Linked DNA regions of Macaca fascicularis. The protein of the gene in region 1 interacts with the protein of each later gene in a pairwise test. Links are inferred from orthologs where the notes say so. Each region holds a gene or a part of one and is shown in the gene's direction. Other genes may lie near its edges.

What was found.
Region 2: the proteins of UBASH3A (region 1) and FGFR1OP2 interact in binary tests that used the Homo sapiens proteins (3 or more experiments, as listed by UniProt). The link is inferred for Macaca fascicularis from reciprocal best matches to the Homo sapiens genes UBASH3A and FGFR1OP2.

The regions. Positions count from the first base shown.
Region 1 is NC_088377.1:4,618,278-4,622,569, reverse strand, and holds the start of UBASH3A (ubiquitin-associated and SH3 domain-containing protein A), read left to right. Parts: upstream 1-1,224; 5' UTR 1,225-1,238; coding exon 1,239-1,351; exon of another isoform or gene 1,352-1,526; coding exon of another isoform or gene 1,527-1,597; intron 1,598-3,545; coding exon 3,546-3,599; intron 3,600-4,292. UniProt on the Homo sapiens protein: Interferes with CBL-mediated down-regulation and degradation of receptor-type tyrosine kinases. Promotes accumulation of activated target receptors, such as T-cell receptors, EGFR and PDGFRB, on the cell surface.
Region 2 is NC_088385.1:29,706,286-29,710,102, forward strand, and holds part of FGFR1OP2 (FGFR1 oncogene partner 2), read left to right. Parts: intron 1-468; coding exon 469-586; intron 587-1,861; coding exon 1,862-2,004; intron 2,005-3,817. UniProt on the Homo sapiens protein: May be involved in wound healing pathway.

The DNA.
Region 1 (4,292 bases):
TTTAGTAGATACAGGGCTTCAACATGTTGGCCAGGTTGGTTTCCAACTCCTGACCTCAGGTGGTCCACGCCCCCCACCTTGGCCTCCCAAAGTGCTGGGATTACAGGCATGAGCCACCACGCCTGGCCGGTATATTTATTAATCGAATACTACACAGCAGTAACAGTGAACTAACTGTGGCTACAAGCAATAATGTGGATAAATTTTACAGGCATAATTTGAGGAAAAAGAAACTAGACATGATAGAGAATATGCTATATGGTTCTATTTATATGAGGCTCAACAACAGGCACAATTCGTGTACAAGCGATATAGCAGTTTACTTTCTGGGGGAGGGAGGAGATAACTGGAGGAGGCTGGGCTGGGGGCAGAGGTGCATCTGAGGTTCTGAGAATGTTCCAGAGCAGGCTTTCTCCACCTTGGCACTACTGACATTTTGTTGGGGAGACTGTCCTGGGCACTGTGACATTTCCGGCCTCTACCCACTAGTGCCAGTACCGCAATGTCCACCCCACCCAGCACCACCACCACCACCTCATTTTGGAAATAAAAATGTCTCCAGACATCGCTAAATGTCCCCTCAGGTGGAAGAGGTACAAAATTCCCCTGGTTGCCCTGTTTTATTTTGGGTCGTGGGGGAATTAGGGGTGTGGGTTCATTTATGGAAATTCCTTGAGCTATACACCTATGATTCATCAACTTTTCTGTACACATATTAAGCTTTTAAAGTTTTTAAAATAAAAAAACAAGTCAACGAATGACTGAAAGAACCAGTAAGTTTTCCAGCAGAGACAATAGATAAAGTGGGATTTAATGTCTTGTTTGCAGACAAGGAGACTGGGATCCAGGGTGGGTCAGGGCAGGGGGCCAGCAGGATCCAGGAGGGAACTCATTCTCTGACTTCTCCTCCCACTTCCTTCCCCCACGCTCTCACGCGTTCTTGCTCCCAAACACTAGACAAGTCCCTGTAGAGGCTGATCCCATGCAGGGGCTCAGTTGGACCTTTAGCCTCGAACCCCATGGAGGAAACAGTTAGGATTGGTGGACGCTGCACCCAGCATCCTGCAAACAGAATTCTGAAAACCGGTATCTCATGCAAACAGGATATCAACTTTTGTCAGAAAGATCAAAAAGGGCTTGAGGTTTTTCTTCACAGCCTCAGCCTTGCCTCTCCCCCTCTTGCTTTATCTCCTCATTTCTGTGTGCAGGCGAGCTTCTTGGCCCACAGGCAGGAAGAGATGGCAGCCGGGGAGACGCAGCTCTACGCCAAGGTCTCCAACAAGCTCAAGGGCCGCAGCACCCCCTTGCTCCTGGAGCCCCTCCTGGCCATGGGCTTCCCGGTGCACACCGCGTGAGTACTGCCCAGAGACCCCGGGGCCCAGCCAGCGGGGCTGGAGCCAGACCCTGCTGCAGCCCCTCACATGGAGCTGCAGGGGTGGAGGGCACGGCTTCCTGCCAAAGCAGTGCACCTTGCAGGGTGAGACACTGCCTCTGCACAGGGCCCTCCTCTGCTTTTCGTAAATGAGATGATCTTGACCAAGCTTGTCCAAACCACGTGTGGCCCAGGACAGCTTGGAATGCTGCCCAACACAAATTGGTAAACTTTCTTAAAACATTATGAGTTTTGTTTTGTTTTGTTTTTTTAGCTCATCAGCTATTATTAGTGTTAGTGTGTGTGTGTATTATCAGTGTTAGTTTATGTGTGGCCGAGGGAGGCAAAAGAATACCTCTGATATTCTTGACCTTTTAAAGACCTGCTCTGCTGGCTGAATGGGAGACCCTGAAATGTGTGAAAATCAGAAGCCATGTATTACTCCGGGTGCTCCATTTTGGGGGTCTGGAGGAGCTTGGGGCCTGGTTGTAACCTCTTTGTGTGCAGCTCAGTGACTCTGAAGGTAGCATTTCAAGACATTCAAACTCTAACGTGAAAGGCCCCAAAGCCCGCTGCGTCTCTACCACCAGGACCACCTGTCAGCAGGGCTGTGCTTCCACGCTGCCCAGGGAAAGTCACTTGTCCTCAGGGAGAATCCCCTGAGTGTCTGATAACGAAACAAATGGGTAGGAGACTAGACACAGCGTGAGCGTGACCCTGCTGACCCAAGGGAAAGGCCTGCATGTGGAAGAGCTTAGCCCTCGGAGTTACCACTCTCGGAGAGGGAGGACATGATACCAACATTGGGTTACAGCTTTCATGGCAAACCAGTGCCCTAGATCCGACCCATTCATTTTTTCACATGGAAAAATGTATCAGAAACACACTTTTGGTAACTTTGGGTTGGGGAAGGAGCTAAACTTTCCTTCCACACTATAACGAAAGCTTGGCCAAATTGGGTGAAGTAACTTTGAAGCTAGATAAACCCCTTTCTTCTCCCCAAGTCAGTGCTTTGTCATCACTGTTATGTTCGAGCTAAGTCGGGGGGCTTTGAATGGGGAGTGGGGTCAGGCGTGTGCAGGGCGGCCACCAGGCACCGTCCAGGCAGCACAGACAAGGCAGGTTTCGTCCACTGCTTGCCACCCAGTGCAGGCAGAACACTGGGCCCAGAGAGTGCATTAGTGGCAGGGGTGGGACTCGAACCAGGTCTCCATGCCTTTGAAGGAGTTCACGCTGGATTTTACTACTAAACCTGTAGCATGGACTCCTACTCAAAATTCCTTCCAGTTTAAACATTAAACACATGTTGGAGGAAGAGAAATGTGTATTAATTTTCCCACACCAGAGCACCTCAAAGTAAGGGCCCTGCACCAAGGCTGCCCTGTTCAAACCTCTCCAGGTGGCCACAGCCCCATCGGTACCCACCCAAATAGCAGCACTGGGCATCACGTGGTGGGCTCCTCATGGATGCCCGCCGTTTCCAGTATGCATTCCTGATAAATTACCTTAGCTATATTCCATTCTGTTTCATCTGGTCCAGTTCTACCCAATTCAATGGAATGTACGTACGTCCCAGGTTACCGTGATGAATAAGACTCAGCCCTGCGTTCAGGGAGCTTTGGTCTAGCAGGGGAGAGCCGTGGACGCAAGGGGACTGTGCGAGCCGTGACAAGTGCCTGCCTGGGTGCTTTGGGAAGGGCTGTTTCCCAGCGGGGGAGAGGTGTGGGAGGCGAGCCTGGGGATCGGGCCGTTTTGCTAAGTGATGCTGGGGCGAAGGAAGCGTTTGTCAGGGAAGCGTGTGTCCCAGGTGGGGGCACTTTCCACAAGGTGGGTCCATTTGCTCTAGGCAGTGGGGAGGGGCAGGCCAGGGAATGGGATTGCAGGAGCAGGCGGAGGTCAGGTCCTCAGCACTGAGACCCTGTGCCAAGGGCTGAAGCAGGTAGGCAGGGAAGGAAAGTGGTGGGGAGGTGTGAGCTGGTCAGCATTGTCCAAAACCACAATGGCAGCACTCAGGGGACAGGCGCCTGGGCACGCGCCAGCTGGAAGTTCAGCATCAGGCCCTCTTCAGAGCACATCCCAAAGATCCTGGGTGTGCAAGGCTACACCAGCCCTCTCTGACCCTTTTCCCAAGAATGGGCGACATGACTCTGTGCCTGTGTCCGCTCTTCTGCAGGCTGAAAGCATTGGCAGCCACGGGGAGGAAGACGGCGGAGGAAGCCTTGGTCTGGTGAGTACAGCTGCTCCTGTAGACCTGGGGGTGTTTGGACTGACTGCCCTGTGCTCGAGGGCTCCCTCCCACCAGGGTGGACACCAGGAAAAGCCGGGAGCCTCTGGGTGGGATGGGAACTCTGCGGAAGTAAAACAAAATAATCTCCCTGCCTATCCACAGTGCACTGAGGGAGCGGCACAGGGCTTTGGTTAACCATGGAAAGAGATGGAGAGAACTTTTAACAAGGCTTTTTTCACTTACAAATCTGATTCAATCCAATTTGACTGCCAAGAAGTACAGGTTCATGTGCTTTGTTGAGTAAATGGGGAAGACATGATTGTTGTGTTGTGATAAGCACATAAATTAGGGTAATTGTTAGAATAAAGTAAATAATTAGGGTAAAAATGGTAACATCTGGGTTATATATTAGTACTGCTAATATTCAACCTATATGAGTAATTGAAGAGTAGGCTAGGATTTTGCATCCTTGTGTTTGACTAAGTCCTCCTCAACCGCCTACTACGATGGACAAGATTGAGATAGATAGGAGGATGTTTGTGTTTATCGATAGAAAGATTTGAGACATAATTGACATCTTTGCTGATAGAAATAGTGGCCACCACACTCTGGGGCTGCCTCTGAGGAGAAGGGAGTTTACTTGTGGTCATGAAGCCCTCGAAGGGCACCAGGTGTGTGGGTCAGGTGAGGGCT
Region 2 (3,817 bases), on another chromosome or scaffold:
TTATGTGCGGCCTGACAATTCTTCTTCCAGTGTGCCCAGGGAAGCCAAAAGATTGGACACCTCTGAGCTACATCATTTTACATTCCATCAACAATGTATGGAAGGTTGCATGCAATTTCTTCACATCCTCTCCAACAATTGTTATTGTCTTTTTCATTATAATCATCCTAGTGGGATATATTGAATTGCATTCTCCTAATGACTAGTTATTTTAATTAAACATCTTGTCATGTGCTTATTGGCCATTTGTATATCTTCTTTAGATAAATGTTTATTCAAATCCTTTGCCACTTTTAAAAATGGGGTTATTTTCATTTTATTGTTGAGTTGTAAGAGTTCTTTATACATTCTGGATACTAAGCTCTTACCAGATATTTGTTTATATGTATATTTCAGATATATTTGTATTTATATATCAGATATATATATTTGCAGATATTTTCATCCTGCATGTTTTTTCCCCATTAGTATCAGGAAGAAATTCAAGAACTTAATGAAGTCGCAAGACATCGGCCACGGTCCACGTTAGTTATGGGAATCCAGCAAGAAAACAGACAAATCAGAGAATTGCAACAAGAAAACAAAGGCAAGATACGTTACTTTTTGACATTAATCCCGTTTCTAGTCTGTATTCCTGAATCATATTTATTGCTCTTTATCCTGTCCCACATTTGAACGTCTGCCTTGCTTGACATCCTCTTAGATTCTCATCCTCAATAATCCAGTTAGCACTGCTGTTGTTAGCTATGAAATAACTCAGCTTCATTCTCTGCAGTCCCACTGCATTAGCCCCCAGATTAGATGCTCAGTCTCTTGCCTGAAATGTCCAAACTTATCTCCCTGATTCCGGTCTCTCTTCTCCCTTCCTGTCCAAGCTGTCTTCAATATGACCATCAGATTGATATTTCAAAAACCAATCTGATCGTGTAATTCTTTTTTTTTTTTTTTTTTTTTTGAGACGGAGTCTTGCTCTTTCACCCAGGCTGGAGTGCCGTGGTGCTAGCTCGGCTCACTGCAAGCTCCGCCTCCTGGGGTCATGCCATTCTCCTGCCTCAGCCTCCCAAGTAGCTGGTACAACAGGCGCCTGCCACCACGCCCGGCTAATTTTTTGTATTTTTAGTAGAGATGGGGTTTCACCGTGTTAGCCAGGATGGTCTCAATCTCCTGACCTTGTTATCTGCCCGCCTCAACCTCTCAAAGTGCTGGGATTACAGGCGTGAGCCACTGTGCCCAGCCCTGATCATGTAATTCTTTTGCCTAAGAACTTTCATTGTATATGTATTACCTTTTACAGGGACCCTAAAAATCAATTCCCAGCCTTTTTTTTTTTTTTAATCTTATTCCCACAGCTTTCTTCACCGTGAACCCTTTGCTCTTGCCAACACAAATCACTTCCTAAACACATCATCTGTTTTCATGCCTCCCTGCTTAGAAGGTCCATTCCTTCACTTTTCAACTGAGGGAACTCACACTGTACTTTTACAAAGCTTCCACCAATTTTTTCCCACAGATATCTCTTAAATCTATTTGACTGACACTCCACTCTGCACCAACCACATGCTTGTTTTCTCTGCTAGACTCTTGAGGTCTGTGGCCCTTTGGTATTAATATAGAGAGAGCCTGGGCTGGTATTTAATTGCTGTTTAGTACATCTTTGTTGAAATGATTCTCAAAAAATAAGGTTAAAATGCTCATTCAGAAATCTAATAAGGGACTTCATTTGGTGTCTCTTATTGTTATATGGCTAGATTTTTGTGCATTGTGTTTTCTTTTTAAAATGTCCTATTCATAAGTTGCTTAGTGGAAAATTTTATGTACTTTTAACTCAAGTTGGAATAAAGTACAATATTATTCTTGATAGAATTGCGTACATCTCTGGAAGAACATCAGTCGGCCTTGGAACTTATAATGAGCAAGTATCGAGAACAAATGTTCAGATTGCTAATGGCTAGCAAAAAAGATGATCCGGGTATAATAATGAAGTTAAAAGAGCAGCACTCCAAGGTAATCCATTCTATAAATGTGACCTGAAATGGAAAAGAGAGACGATTGATTATCCTGTGTTCAGATTTTTTTTGTAAAAAATCACAGGTATCTAGTAATGGCATTTTAACATGATGTTGAATGTTTCATCTTTTTAATTGCCATTTTCTCCTTTTTCTTATTTTTCCATTTCTTGCTTGTTATGTATCATTTTCTGTTTGATTTATAACTCTCACTGTTTCTTAGAAACTTTAATTTGTACATTGAAAAATAAATTTTATTTTGGATATAAAGGTAAGTCTGTTCTATTCAACATTATTTTTGTAGGGCTATGTGCTTTTAAGAAATATTTCTTAAAAGGCTGGGCATGGTGGCTCGCGCCTATAATCCCAGCACTTTGGGAGGCCAAGGTAGGAGGATCGCTTGAGGCCAGAAGTTCAAGACCAGCCTGGGCAACATAGTGCGACTCCATCTCTTCAAAAAGTAAAAATACTAGCTGGGTGTGGTAGCACATGCCTGCAGTCCTAGCTTCTCAGGAGGCTGAGGTGGATAGACCACTTCAGCTCAGGAGTTTGAGGTTACAGTGAGCTATGGTCATGCCAACTCTTACCTAGACAACCGACTGAGACCCTGTCTCTTAAAAAACATAATTTTTAAATTTTTTTTTGTTAATAAATTTGTGTATTGCCTTCTCTTGCATAAACAAAAAATACTGAAAACTTTTTTGTAAAACCTGAAAGCAGTTTAATGTAGATTTGTTTTTCTTAGGACTATTTTCTGAATAAGGCTAATTCATCCAGACTATAAATCATCTTGTTTATTATAATGGAAAAAACATGGGGTTGAGGAGAAGAACCAACATATTAAAATTTTGCTCCCTTGCCCCAGTATTATATACCAATTGACATCATTTTTTAGAAACAAAGCTGAAGTAGTTAGAAATTAGTGTTTTACCTGCTTTTCATCGCTTTGTCATCCCTGTGTCTATTCCCTTTGGTATGGCTCCATATTTTATGGCAACTGCTATGAAGACAAGTAGAATAATCCTTTCTCACTTACATTTATTTTAAACTGAGTTTTAGTTGCTGATATGAAATAAAAATATTAAACTAGATTATGGAAACTAAGCTGTTATCTGTATTAGATAATGATGATCTGACTATTATTATCAATATTATTTAAGAAATAGTGATTATGAGCCTTCTTTTCCCCATTTGTTACAGCAGAAATAGGAAAGGACGTCTTTTTATATTTCTCTATTATTGAAACACATTTTAGATTCTTTAAACTACTTCTTCCATTTTGGTGCTTGTAGGTGTTTTTCACTTATTAGTAATTAATTCTATTAGAATTAAATACCTATCAAATAGCTCTTTATATGCCTTTATATATTAGAAAACCTAATGATAGGTACCTCTTATGTCAACCAGTAAAATAATAAATTAAAAATCTGTGTTTAATTAAAAAACAAAAAAAGTTTTCTAATTATGCTATTCATCTCCTAATCAAATGGCAATCCGTTGATGTTTAAGTGGTGATCTTTTGAATACAAATTGTAACTATTGTTAATGAGACCATTCTAAAATCATTTAAATTTAAAGGTATAATAATAACTATAATAACTAAGACTTTTTTAAAGGCACTAAGAGGAGTTGACTTAGTATTATTAGTAAAATAAATGTAATCTTGAGAATTTCTAAAAGGTTTGTATGTTTTATAACCTAAAAATAAAATGTTAAGGATCTCAAGGGAAGAATACCATCTCATCTGGTAGCAACTATGACAGAAGCAAATGTTTTCTAAAATGCATTAGATTTTACTATTCACCAGAGCT